Linked DNA regions of Tamandua tetradactyla. The protein of the gene in region 1 purifies or fractionates together with the protein of each later gene. This does not show direct contact. Links are inferred from orthologs where the notes say so. Each region holds a gene or a part of one and is shown on either strand. Other genes may lie near its edges.

Region 1 (7,945 bases):
CCTTGCCAGAAACAACTAGCAATATAAAATATAGTGTTAAAGGTTGTCAGAATGCAGAGGATGGATAACTGGGACTTAATTCTGATCACTCAAGAATCTACAGCGGGAAGAAAGCTCTACACACATGCAATTATTCAGGTTACTCAAAGGAGAAAGGGCCTAACCCACAAGGCACAACCTGCTTGCCTATAATAGGTCAAATGCTTTGACATTTGAAATCTCAGTTAATTTTTGTTACTCTTCCAAGAAATGGGTGCAAAATGTCATTTAACATACCAATAGTACTTAGGCAAGTGACATTTAAAGTTGGCAGCAAGAGATAAAGTCAGGATGAATGTCTGATCTGCTTTATTTTTCCTTTTCTTAGTTTTTTTTTCCACCACCTTCATTAATTTATATTCATTCAAAAATCATTTACAAGTACTTGTACATACCAAGTACTGAGCAAGGCATTTGTTCTAGTTTGCTAGCTGCTAGAATTCAATATATCAGAAATGGAATGGCTTTTAAAAGGGGGAAATTTATTAAGTTGTGAGTTTACAGTTCTAAGGCCATGAAAATGTCCCAATTAAAGCAAGTCTATAAAAATGTCCAAATTAAGGCACCAACAAGAGGTTAGCTTCACTCAAGAATGGCCGATGAAATTCAAGGTTTCTCTCTCAACTGAAAAGGCATGTGGCAAACATGGTGACGTCTGTTAGCTTCCTCTCCAGGCCTTTTGTTTCATGAAGCTCCCCAGAGGGCATTCTCCTTCTTCATTTTCAAAGGCTGCTGGCTGGTGGGCTCTCTGCTTCTTGTGGCTATGCCATTTGTGTGATTCTGGCAGATCTCTCAGATCTTAAACCTTTTCCAAAATGCTTCCTCTTTTAAAGAATTCCAGTAAAGTAATCAAGACCCACCCGGAATGGGAGGAGACACATCTCCATCTAATCAAGCTTAATATCCACAAGTGATCAAGTTACATCTCCGTGGTGATAACCTAATCAAGTTTCCAACCTATAGTACTGGATAGGAATTAGAAAAAATGGCTGTCTTTACAAAATGGGATTAGAATTAAAACATGGCTTTTCTAGGGCACATAAATCCTTTCAAACCAGCACAGCATTTGTGATGGTTAGGCTCATGTCTCACCTTGGCCAGGTAATGGTGCCCAGTTGTCTAGTCAAGCAAACACTGGCCTGTTACTGTGAGGACATTTTGTGGATTTAAATTATCAGTAAATTGATTGCATTTATGATGGATTAGATCTATAATCAATTAAGGAGAGTATCTTCAGTAATGAGAAATGTTTAATCCAATTAGTTGAAGACTTTAAAAGGAGAAGTGATGATTTCCGCAGTTAGAAGATAAAATTTTCATCTCTACTTCAGCTGGCCAGTTTCTCCTGGGGAATTCATCAAAAATTTTCATTGGCGTTCCCAGATTACAGCCTGCCCTATGGAACTTGGACTCGTGCATCTCCACTGTTGTATGGGATAATTTTTTTTTTAATTATCACCTGTAGGTTCTGTTTCCCTAGAAAACCCCATTATACAGCATTTTTATTTGATCAACTATTGTCACCATTTTAATCATATACTGAGTACCTTCTTTCAGTACTTCTCAGAAAGACATATTACGAGAGATTTTTTTTTTTGCCAAGAACCAACAGACCACAATAATAAAATGGACAACACATATAAACATAATATATGGAGTACTGTACTTTTATAAGGTCATAACGCAAGAGAAATGCTAACCCTTGGAAGTGGGAGGATCTGTACACAATATCTTCAAGCTATTTTGGAAGAGTGTTCCCTGATGAGTAGGGAGGTAATGATGTCTTTAAACTAAGGAAGACTCTAAAGGCAATTAACTAAATTAGGAAGCTAAGGAAGGAAGAGGGCTATAGGAGTGGTTATTAGTGATTTATGGGCTTCTCTGCCTGTTGGAAATCTTCATTTGCAAAGCTTACTTCAAATGCCACCTCTACCACAAAGTCAATTCTATTGCATTAATTACTATTCATCAATTCCTTGGTTTGGTTTCAACAATGCCTTGATTTCAAGGTAGCTAAAAGGAGAAAGATGCTCTTCAGCAAAAAGTAATTGGTTTTCCCATGAAACCACCAAAGTTTATTACAGATTCATAGCATGAAAAGAAGAATGATGAACAGATGGAACTATGAGCCATTGCCTTATGATATTCCCAAAGTGGTATGTAAAACCTTCATTCCATTACTTCATTCCATCAAAGACCAAGAAGTCTACTACATGTTGGGCATCACACCAGCAGCAGGAACCACAAATAAATGGCTTGTTTGAGGGAGGAATTGGTCTAGTGAGGATGCTTAGAAAAACAAATATGTAGTCAAATAATCACTATATGATGAGATAGATATAAGCCACAGAAACAGCATAGGATGTAGAAAATTATTAGCTTTGCCCTACTCACTTCCCAATACCTCTGACCTTGTCTATAACTCTCTCTCTCATGCTCACTCCTCTCCTGCTACATTTTTGGGTTCCTAGAATCCCTTAAGCACGCTTCTACCTCAGGCCTTCGCACTTCCTATTTCTACTGTCTCACAGTCTATTCACCCAGAAATCCATGGGGCTTACTTCCTCAATCCATTCAGGTATCTAGTCTTGCATCACCATATCATAGTGGCCCTTACTGACCACCTGATATAAAATTGCACCCCATCTCTCTTTATCCCTCAGCTCTAGTTCCCCTTATGCTGCCACTCTTCTTTATAAGCTTAATTACCACTGACATATTATACATTGATATGTTTATGTCTGTCTTTCTCATTAGAATGGAAGCTCCATGAGACAAAGGACTTTTTTTTACTCAGTGTTTTGGATCTACAGAGCCCAGAAGAGTGCCTGGCACTGTTAGGTGCCCACATAAAATTTTTTTAATAAATGGAAAGGGATGAAGTGGGATTCAAGAAAGATTTCACAAATGGAATTATATTTCAACAGAGTTTAGAAGGCTGCAAGGGATTACCGTAAGATAGCAGAGACTGGAAAAAGCAGCTAAAGGAGTGTCCAAAGATAAGGGGTATTAAAAACACAGGCTTAAGTAACTTGAGATGGTGTGTTATTGGTTGGGTGCAAGCACTTATGCTTCTCTTGCGGCAGTCTGCCTTTTTCCTTGTAGGAGAATTAATTACTAACCACCTTTTTGTCTTTCTCAGTAAATTGAGAGCTCTTTAAGGGAAGGGACTCTTTTCATTCATGCCTCTATATTTAAACATATCAGATACTCAATCGTTTTTAAATAAATTAATGAAAACAATTTGTATTGATGAAAGAGAAAGAAAATTCATTATTTGTAAAACTAAAAAGGATTTCTTTCTGTTTCTTCCCTTTTCTGAAAAGGGAGTGTCCTATTTGAAAACCTTAGAACTGAAAGTAAAGTTAAAAATCATTTAATTCAGCTTTCCCATTTTACAGATGAGAAACTGAAGCATAGAATGACTGACCTGAGGTCATGTAACTATCTAGTTATAGTTAAGAACTACAATTCTGGTTTTGACCCATCATACATCATCTTCGCTTTGGAAAACACGTTCTCAAAAGATGCCTGAAAATTTACCTTTATCTATTTAAAACTGCACATACTTTATGACCTATCTTGGAGAAACATTTGTAAAAGTCTGCAAGTTATTTACAAAGATTTTCATCACAGTTTTTTGTTGTTGTTGTTTGTTTTTTTGCTTGTTTTGGTAAAAGTGAAATAGCAAATGCTTAATTGATACAGAGTTTCAGTTTGGGGTAATAGGAAAGTTTTGGTAATGGATGGTGATGATATAGCACAACATTATCAGTGTTAATTAACAGCACTGCATTATATATTTTAAAGTGAATAGAGGGGAAATATATGCTACTAGAATAAAAATTGAAATAAAAACACATAGCTCTCTACAATACAGTGAACCCTAATATAAACTGTGGTCTAGATTTAATAGTATAGTAATATTATTTCATTAATTGTAACATAGGTACCTCACGAATGCAAAGTGTTAATAATAGGGTAAACTGTATGTGTGTGAAGGGAGGATATGAGAACTCCATTTTCAGTACGATTTTTCTATAAACCTGAACTTCCCTAATTTAAAAAACAAGAGAAAAGTTGAAAACAATCCTGTCAGTAGGGAAATCAATAGGGAAATAACCGTGTTGACTTTATGACAGCCACGCTATGGAATGTTATGCAACACTTAAAAAATGGAAATAGTTCGATATATGCCAACATGGAAAAGATCTCCAAGACACTGCTGAGTTAAAAAGAAAAAAAGCCGCAGGGTGATATGCATTGTATTTACCTTTTAAGACTAGTCAACCTTAGATTCCTCCACTAAAACAATACCATACACGAGAAATAAGTACATAGAATATTTCAGAATTCTGCACACCAGATTCAATGGTTACTTCTGGAGAGGTAGGCAGTGGATAAAGGGTTCTTTGGCTTTAATTGTAATATTTTCCTGTGTTTTTTCTTTTTAACAAGAAGGATGTATTATTCCTATATTACTTTGCTTTTGTTTCCTATAAAAAAAAGGTGGGCATGATTTTTTCGCGGGGAAGGGCAAGAACTATTTCTTCTCTAATGAGAAACAGAGACCTAGAGGTAACGATTCTGTACCAAGGCTGATACAACCTGTAATGAAGAAAACAATGCCCTTCCGAAGACAAAAAAAAAAAAAAAAAAAAAAAAAAAAAGGTTGAGAAGAGCAACCATCCGGGCTAAAGAGAACAATGGCGCACTTCCCGGAAAAGGCAACACGAGTTGTGGAGGCAAAGTCGGGGGAGGGGAATTCTAGCAGACGCAGGACGCCGCCGCGAAGAGCCCTACAGAAAGGCAAAGCGGCATTCCACAGGGGCGGGGCCAACTGCGGCGCACACGCGCAGTTAGGTCCAGGTGGCCGCCGCCGCGGAAGCAAAGCCACCGAGAGCAGCCGCGCAGCTTGCGTGCTGCTGCGCGTGCGCAAGCTGACCTGCTCTTGAGTCTTCATCTTTGCCGCCTCCGCCGCCGGCGGCCGCCCACCCTGGATTTAAGTCGCGCGCTTTCTTGGTTCGCTCGCTGGCGGGTTCGTGCCCCCCTCGCGCCCCTGGGCAGCGAGTCTGGGGAAAGGGTTTGAGGGGCTGTTGATCGCCGCCTTTAAGTTGTGCTCGGGGCGGCCATGTCGGCCGGCGAGGTCGAGCGCCTAGTGTCGGACCTGAGCGGCGGGACCGGAGGGGATGAGGAGGAAGAGTGGCTCTATGGCGGTACGGAACTTCCTTTCTCTCCCTCCCAGGTTTTCGCAGACTTCCTTTCTCCGTCCCCAAACGGCTGGCGTCATGGGCCCATCAAGCCTCGGCCTTGGGCCTGTTGTGCGGAGCTATGCTCGGCCTGACTAGGCCAAGCGCGGCATGCACGCTCTCCCTCGGCTCCCCTCGGCCTCCTCCTGCCCAGCCCACTCCCCCAGCACGCACCGCCCCGCAGCGGCGGAGGACGCGGCCTCGCCGGAGCTGGGGGTTTCGGGGTCGGAGGCATGGGGGCAGTACGGTGGAGTTTCTTCCTCCTATCTGTCGGGACTTCTTGGCTTCCTTGTCTTCGCGTTCTTTACACTTGTTTCTTGTATCGATTTTGGATGTTTTTGGTGTTTCTCTTTTTGCTTCTTGGCTGTAGGATGCCATTCCCGTTCGTTTCTGTCAGAAAGTCGTCCTGTAATAATAGCTAAATAAAGTTAATGCTGTAAAACTAATGTTTTGTTTCCTGCTGGTCAGTTTGTATGGAATGCACCTGCAAGTGTACCTCCTTGTCTCAAAGTCGTGCTTTAAAAAAATAATTAGTGAAAGAGAGAAAGGAGAGAGATGGAATGTATTTTACGACCCATAAAGAAAATCTTGAAATTTTCATGCTTTAAGGTGAAGTTTCTTTTTAGGGACTACTCTGAGTCAGTTACACAGGTTATCTCAAGATTGTGTGTGTTTGTGTCATCCCCTGTATTTTTCTCAAAATAAATTTAATGCATCTTGTGCCTCCCTCTTGAAAGGGGCTTGTTTGACATGTGGTTTTTAACTTTAAATCACAATCCCTTCATGTCTGTTGCTGACACCAGCTTTAAAAGATTATATTTAATACTTGCCTAAATTCTTGATTATCTTTAGAATTGTGTAGTAAAGGTGTCTGTTTCTAACACCACATAGCTTCTTGATGGTGTGACGTTGATAAAGCTGTGAAGTAAATTCCTTGTCTTTGGTGGCAAGCTTTAACATTAGTAAAACTCTCCGAAATATCAATGTGTAGGTTTTCTTATACAAAAGATGTGGAAATCTACAATACGTTTAAAATTAAGCTATTTTTATAGAAGTAAGATGTGAAGATTTTTTCCGTAAATTTTATTTTGTTAATTATAAGGTGATCTAACTTTGGATGTGCTTATAGGCCCATGGGACGTGCATGTGCACAGTGATTTGGCAAAGGACCTAGGTTAGTGCTTGTGATTTGATGATCACTTCAGATTTTCATAAAACCTGTTTCATTAAGAGTGGTTTGTTTACTTACTTACTTATTTTTTTGTTAGATGAAAATGAAGTTGAAAGGCCAGAAGAGGAAAATGCCAGGTTAGTGAAATCTGTTGGTATTTACTATATAGATTGTGTGATGCAACTGTTCTATCAACAAATAGACTTCTTTCATTTAAATCAATGGCTTAATTGCAAAATTTTGAAGAAAGTCGGACCCTTTAGTGTGCATTCTTATTTCAGGACCTAATCTTCTCTTATAACTGTGCTCAATAATGTAATAACAAAAACTACTAACAGACATTTTAAAACTTAAACATTTTTTTAAGAAGGGAGCCAAGATATTACTGCTTTTACAGTTTAACATTTTTGATGTTGTATGCTCTTTAGTTATAATTTCAGTATGTTCCATATGTTTAAATTCACAGGAGAATTAATTTATTAGAAGAATGATTCCCATTGTTAGACTACTAGAAAGTTTTGAGTGCCATGTGTAAACGTAAAAGAGCCAAGAATTTTGTATTTCGAAATAACTCATGTACATGGATGTGCTGTCTTTATTCTGACCAGATTGTCTTAGTGTCCTATTATGTGGTTGGGGGTGGTGTAGAAAGAGTTTTAAAGAATATTTGAGCTTAAAAGTGGAAACTTCACACCCACTAATATGGCTGTAATAAAAAGGACAGATAGCAGGTGTTGATGATATGGAAAAATTAGAACCCTCATACATAAAATGCTGCAACCACTTTGGAAAAGTCTGAAAGTTTCTCAAAAGGTTAAGCAGTTACCATATGGCCCAGCAGTTCCACTCCTAGGTGTTATACACTGGAGAAATAAAAACACAAAATTTGTGCATGAATGTTTATAGCATCATATGTCATTATAGCCCCAAATTGGAAACAACTCAAATGTCCATCAGCTGATGGAAAAATAAAATATGGTATAACCGTACACTGAAATACTATTTAGCAATAAAAAATGAAGTACTGATACATGTCTCCATCATTGATGAACCTTGAGGACATGCTAAGTGAAAGAAGCCAGTCGCAAAGGGTTGTGTATGTTATGATTCCATTTATATGGAATGTTGAGGATAGGCAGCGTATAGCAGATTAGTTCTGGCCAATGATGTGGGAGGGAAAATGGGAGTGAGCATGAAATTTCTTTTTGGGGTGATGAAAATGCTCTGAAATGAGTGTTGATGGTTGCATTACTTTGTGAACAATGAATTGTACACTTTAAATTCGTGAATTGTGTTATATAAATTATATTTCTAAAGCTGTTATTTAAAAAAGTGAGTGATGAAGGGAAGAAGTGGAAGAAGAAATAGCTGAGGAGAAACTGAAATAAGAGTGTTCTTCCTCCTCCAAAATATTGTCTCCTGTTTTGCAAGAAATTTTTTTCATTCATTGTTGTATCATGAAATTTTATCATTTAGTTTTTGTTGT
Region 2 (6,835 bases), on another chromosome or scaffold:
TACAAATTTTCAAGTAAAAATTACTCAGATTTGACTTAGGGCTTAAAGACTTGAGGCAAGGGAAGGTACTGAATTAGACTGAATCTAATCAGAGCTAGACTAGAACAATGTCTCTGAAGGGTGGGATAAATGAAGCAACATAAAACCAGGTGCACTCCTTGATTTTTCAGGTAGCACAGCTTTAGAAGAAAGCAATTCCAATACCACAAGTTTAAACTTATCCCATTAACTCTTAACATTTCAACATAACTCAAAAACATAAAGCTTAGCCTTTAAATGGCTTACCAAAAAATATAACTTTATAATTTTGAGGTAAACTTTTTTATTCTACAACTTAAAATCTTAAACTATCTTAACACATTGCCATTTTAACACAGGTTACCATAATCTTTATGTGCAGTTTTCATAGTTCTACTCAATTTTTAAAAATGTAGTTAACATATTGTAGATACCTTTCATATTGTCGCACATTCTTTATAAGCTTTTTTGGTAAAATACAATCATGTTCAGTGTTACTTTTGTATTTCTCGGTAACTTGAGTGAACAGACCCATACCCTCCACCCCCTCCCCCCAATTAAAAGTGAAAAGGAAAGCTGAAGGAAAGAAAAATAAGAAAAAATGAGATTAGGCTCTAGGAAGCAGAGGTAAACCTTAATCTTAAACTTTCAAGTGTGGGGATGTGTAAATCAGCTTTTTGCACCCCTTCTCCATGCTACAGAATTAACTTTCTGAGATTACTGCCTTGTGTATTTTCTAAAACTTTTCAAGAAGCTCCAGTGGATTTCTGGATTTGCTCTTTCAAAATCAGAATACTCTGCCTTTGCTCAGGAGGCAGCATGGCAATCTGATCTGCAGTCAGTTGAAGAACCTGCATGATCAATGCTGCTTTTTCTTGATCCTGTGGAGTTACCTGGCTCTGCCCCGGACTAAAACTGCTAGGCTGGCCTCCACCTTGCTTGCCTGCCCCCTGCATGCCGCCTCCTTGTATGCCTGCCCCCTGGATGCCCACTGCTTGAATGCCTGCCCCTTGTATGCCTGCCCCCTGCATGCCTGCCCCCTGCATGCCTGCCCCCTGCATACCAGCCCCCTGCATGCCTGCCCCCTGCATACCAGCCCCCTGCATGCCTGCCCCCTGCATACCTGCCCCCTGCATGCCTGCCCCCTGCATGCCTGCTCCTTGGATGCCTGTCCCCTGCATGCCAGCTCCAGGATTTCCCACTCCTGAAATGCTTGGAACCTGTCTGGGACCCTGAGGGCCACCTGCCCCCATACTGATGGGACCAGGACCCTGGATTCCACCAGTCATAGGGCCTCTTGAACTGGGGCCAGGACCTCTTATCTCCATTCCTCTTGCATCCATGCCTCTAACTTCCATCGCACAGGTCTCCATTCCTCTTCTCTCCATTACTCGTGTCTCTAAGACCTCAGTCTCCATGGCTCGAGTCTCCATCACTCGAGAATCTCTACTACCTCTACCATCCAGGGGTAGACCCCTTTGATCTAGCATGGGTCCTCTGGGCTCTCCAATTAGCATTCTGGGATCTGCTAATGGCCCTCCCCTCATTTCATGTGAGGCAGGTCCACGGTTGTCATGACCAGAGACATGGTGCATGGGGGGACCTTGGTGGGGTGGGCCCAGGTAACCTCTGGGCTCTACTTCTCCAGTAACTGAAAGCAAAGTCCCTCCACGTGGATCATTTGGAGCATCTCCTAGCAGTCCTCTAGGAGGCAGGCCAGCAGCAGTCATGGGTCCACGAGATATAGGCGCCCTGGGATCTGACATCTGTACGTGTCCCCGCTCTAAAGGCACTGGGCCAACCCCAGGCATTCCAACCTGGGGCTGCATTGCTCCTCCAGGAGTTAAGGAACCAGTTCCAGGTCCAGGAACAGCAGTTGGGATCGCCCCCGGGGCTGGAATTCCACCCTGGATAGGAGTTTGCATCAGAGGAGGAATGTCTTTCACGGGTCTTCTAGCCAAATGTTGAGGCTGAGGGGCTGGAGGGTTCTGCTGGTTCAGCAGAACATTAGGTCCTGGGCACAGGCCTGGGCCGGAGACAGACTGAGATTTGCCCGGAATTAGTGGCGTGACATGTATCTTACGATGCAGAATTTTCAAAGCAATCTCTGGATCCATGATTCTCATCACCACTTGTGCCTGCAACAGCGCATAAGCCAACTGCGGGTTTTGAAGCAACATATTTCGAGCTTCCTGGTGGCTGTTTTGGACACAGAGCTTCATCTGCTTCATTAGCTCAAACATCTGTTCCGGAGGGAGACTGGCGACTGCTCTAGTAATTGATTCAGGGGCATCTTCCGGATCGATGGGATCCCCATAGGGTGAGTCAATGATGGGCGCTGCCGGCCCTAGACTCTTTAACTCCTCCTTATTCTTTTCACTAGCAGCATTGTCCACCCGAAGCGCTCGCCCGCTGAACTCCCGCCCGTTGAGGTTCCGCATGGCACTAAGCGCGGTCTCCTGGTCTTGATACTCGCAGAAGCCATAACCCTTGGGTTTTCCCGTCTCTCTATCGTATACCAGACGGAAACTGACAACAGAACCAACCTCCGAGAAAATGTCCTTTAACTGCTCCTCAGTTGCCTCATACGGAATGTTCCCCACGAACACGGAACGCAGTGATCGATCCATTGCCGGGTCTCTCACAGCCAAACTCGACATGATTCCGTTTATGAAAACAGCGGATAGCGGATTCTTTCGAGAGTTGTCCCCCAATACACACTTCCGGCAACTAGCGGAAACGGCTCTCAAAATCCGGGCAGAAACCTCATTGATGCGCTTGAATCGTTCCGCTTCTCTGCGGAAACCGCACCTGTATGTCCCCCTAGTTTAACGCTTGCCAGCCCCAGGCCTTTCGTGGTTCTGTCAGCAAATTGTTACCGAGATGCACTTTTCCTTTTCTCTTATTATGCCGACTTTCCATGGCGCCCTACTCCTACCAGGGAGAGCTTGGTGTGAGGTGACCTAAGTAAAGATGGCAGTATTGGCTTCATCCTGGTAAACGAGACAGGCCGCCTCTTTTGACGTCAAGGGTCCGTTCGGCTTCCGTTCGGCCGGCGCGAAACCGCCAACCGAAAGCTGATGAAGGCAGGGGGGTGTTTCTTCATTCTGAGGCAAATATTTTCATGTAGCCGTTTACTCTTAATGTAGAGTATTTAAGCAATATTTAAAACCATGTTCCAAACTATGACAGAAAGGGCAGTTTTAAAGCCGATTTGATATTCGCTCCTTAAATTACAAACATAATTTCTCCTTTAGAGAAAAACATATTTGGAAAATAACTGCCTAAGCAGAAAGACTGAACACGTGTGCCGGTTCCCTCCCCGCCCCCAATCTGTTGCTTCGGGTTTGCCGGTTCTTGCAGATTTTTCTTGGTTCACAAAATCAATCAATTCATACTGGATTGTTTTTCTTTCTTTTCGTAATAGTGCTAGTCGATATTAATGTTAATCATTGCTAATAAATAGCGTTTTGTGGCTGCAAGGCTTGAATTAAGCAAATGTATGTAACCATTGTATTAGTAGGCATTTAGTTTATAGTTCAGTGTATATAATACGATATTTTTATTGCATCCATTTACTCTCAAGTGTTTTAATAGTCTTTTCAAACAGGATTTGACATACCTGTTCGCCCAAGACACATGCCAATTTGTATGTGCAAGCGTATATATATCACCCAATAAAATCTACTTGCTGCCTCAGAGAAACAGAAAAGCTGTCTGCTAGGAAAGATCCCCCCCCCCTTATTCTTTTTCTTTTATGGGGGGCCGGGGGTGGGGTTGTGAGGAGTTAAAGATGGTATTTCAGAAAACTTTTAAAAAGTAGCTCCTTTACTGCTGCTACTGATAGCACCCAGTGGTTCACAGATGGTAGCCCACAACGGAAACACCTGGAACTAGGGCTCGTTAAGTCAGATTGTTGGGGCTCTTTTCTCCCACCCAGGTTCTGATCCGGGGTGGGACTAGGTCATTTGCATGTGTAACAAGTTTCAGGCTGGTCTGGGACCCACACTTTTAACAACCACTCGTAAACAAAAAACTTGAAATGCTTTATCTTCACATGCATTAGGCCGAATTAAATTTAGTACACTCTGTTAAAAGGTAGGAGAGCTGGGTGGTTTGAAAAAAAAAATCATGTGGATCTAGTACTGCTAGGATGTACTGATACGCAACTCCCCCCCCCCCCCCGCCCCCACACACACACAACTGAAGATAACCCCGGGCTCAAAGGATGGGTAGACAAAGAGAAGCTGAGAAATTCTGTGGACAAACAGCCGAGAGCATGAGCCTGCTTTTTGTCCTTAGCCCTCCATGGTCTTCTCAGTCACCCTGTTCCATCCAGGGATAGGAAGAATGGTGGGTGCTGCTTTGACACGGCCCCCTTCACGGAGGACCAATGTGACCCAGCACATAAGTAAATGCCTGCAACGCATAAACTAATATTTATTATTAACAGAGTTGCCCAGAATCACCAAGAGCTCTTATGAACCTGTGTACATTTACTGGTGAAAATACATATTTTTTATAGCTCTACTTTGGAAAAATGTCCATTTTTATACAATGTTCTTTATTCCCAGAAAGTTTAAACTTAAGGGATTTATAGCACAATATTTATTCTGAAGAAAAATATACAAAGCTTATTGTATGTCCACTGATCAATTCGTTCAATAAATCAAGCTGTTAATTATGCAAATGATGATTAAAAAAATACATCAGGGTCTAGATGGCTAAATGGGGGGTGTCTTTCAAACCGACTACCTTCATAGAATATGAACTTTAGTTATTGATGCTGCCATTGTTTAAACTGAATTATAAACGCTTTCTGAGGTATCGCTTCAGGGCCCCATCATTAAGTAATACTAGATAATTAGTGGCAAAACTTGCTTTTGGCAGAAACAAATTAATCACCCAACTTTCTGGCCAGACATGCCAAAGTCTGATGTTTCGCTATTTTCAAATATCAAAACTTATACCAAAATACAAAGATTCCATAGACTTTGAGGACATTAATGGAAGATTCACTATAGATTAATAAGATAAATTCAACAGAGAGGTTCTAAAAATATTTTGAGTGTGGCAGGCATCTTTGAAATATGTATATGGATTCTTCCAGGCACAGTTTGAATATATTCCTCCACAAAGTTTTTCCAGATCTTCCTCCTCTTCCTCGAGGTTGAACATAATTTCCTTTTCCTTTTGATGTAAACCATTCCTTATTTGTACCTACCTCATGACAATAACTCTTAAACCTGTTAATGAAATTAGTGTGTTTTCCCTGTAGACTATAAAATCATTCAAGAGAAAGAGCTAGATACCCCATATCAATTTCTATTATTTTTTTCATTCCATAAATACATACTGAGTATAGTTTTAGTCAGAGGCAATACAGCAGTGAAAAAGTCAAGTATTCTACAAGAATAGAGATTTTTCAAAAGTTTGATCCCTGGACCAGAAGCATCAGAATCACCTGGAAACCTCTTAGAAATGCAAGTTTGAGGGCCCTGTCCCTAACTAGGGAGTCAGAAACTCTGGAGGGCATGGTGCATGTGTGTAGAAATTCATGTTGTAACAAGCCTTCCAAGTGATTCTGATGCTGGCTAAAGTTTGAGAGCCATAGTACTACAGGAAAACAGCCATAGATAGATGGTTTTTCTTCATCACTATCCTCAGTACAGATAATAGAGTTTAGCACTGGTAGTTTCTCACTGAATATTTGTTCAGTGAGTAATGAAAAATGAATTTAGGGTTAGCTAATCCACAAGCCCTTCATTTTACAGAGAAGGAAATTTTGGGGGTTAAATGATATGTTCCAAAGCAGGAAAGAAGCATGCTGTTAGAATCCTACCAGTTCACTCCTAGCTTAGGCATGGTATGTCCATGTTACTATTTGATAAACCAGATATGTAATGAGTAACATAGAGATGGAAGAGAATGATACCATCTAGATCACCATGGAACGTTTCCTGATGAAGATGGGATTTAAGGAATGAGTTATAATCTGGTCAAATGGACAAAAGATGATAAGATGACAAATGCACAGCTATATGATGATAATGTGAACTACTGATTATATAATTTGCATAATTATATGGTTTGTGAATGTATCTCAATAAAATTGCTTAAAAAAAAGATGATGAGGATAATCTAGTAGCTAGGAGTAGCCAAGACACACAGTTGGGACCTGGTAATTTTGATACTCACAGAGGAAATCAATAGAGAGTTGTTTAGTAGGGTGATAAATGATTGATTTGGGAGACAGATTATAAAAGATTTTAACCACCAGATTCACGAGTCTAAATTTGATGTGCAGTCAGGCTTTCTTCCCTCTTTCTGAAACATGACCATGGAATAAATGGTGAGGGTTTAAGAATACCAGTGTTATAGATTCTTTCTCCATTATGGTATCTTCTGCACCTGAACTGTCTATTTCAGTCCCTCATGACAGTTTTCCTAAATTGCAGCACTTGCTTCCTGCATTTGACAACCTGTTATAATTATGTGGCTTCGTTGTCATTAGCCTCCCTCCTTTTTATGTATTTTCTTCTAAGTTGTACCACTTACTTTTCACCATATATGATCTGTGCATTTCTGCCTCTGAGGTTATACTGCTCCTCTATCAGGGATAATATTTTTCCTCTCTACCTCTTCTCCCCAAGTCTAAATCCTTCTTGTCCTTCAATGCTCACTTCAGGACTTCCCCTTAATATAAATTCACAGAAGGACAGGGAAGACCCTGACCCCCCAGGGACACTCATAGCTATGACTAGGGCCCCCAACTGCTCTTACATGTTTGTATTCTTAACAAAATAAAGGCGTAGAT

Evidence for each region.
Region 2: the proteins of FIP1L1 (region 1) and CSTF2T purify together in Homo sapiens (co-immunoprecipitation; 3 studies listed by BioGRID and IntAct, with this or other methods). This does not show direct contact. The link is inferred for Tamandua tetradactyla from reciprocal best matches to the Homo sapiens genes FIP1L1 and CSTF2T.

What each region holds. Positions count from the first base shown.
Region 1 is NC_135345.1:53,598,113-53,606,057, forward strand, and holds the start of FIP1L1 (pre-mRNA 3'-end-processing factor FIP1), read left to right. Parts: upstream 1-4,931; 5' UTR 4,932-5,170; coding exon 5,171-5,255; intron 5,256-6,417; coding exon 6,418-6,462; intron 6,463-6,556; coding exon 6,557-6,596; intron 6,597-7,945.
Region 2 is NC_135339.1:45,357,794-45,364,628, reverse strand, and holds the start of CSTF2T (cleavage stimulation factor subunit 2 tau variant), read right to left. Parts: upstream 3,013-6,835; 5' UTR 2,679-3,012; coding exon 765-2,678; 3' UTR 1-764. UniProt on the Homo sapiens protein: May play a significant role in AAUAAA-independent mRNA polyadenylation in germ cells. Directly involved in the binding to pre-mRNAs.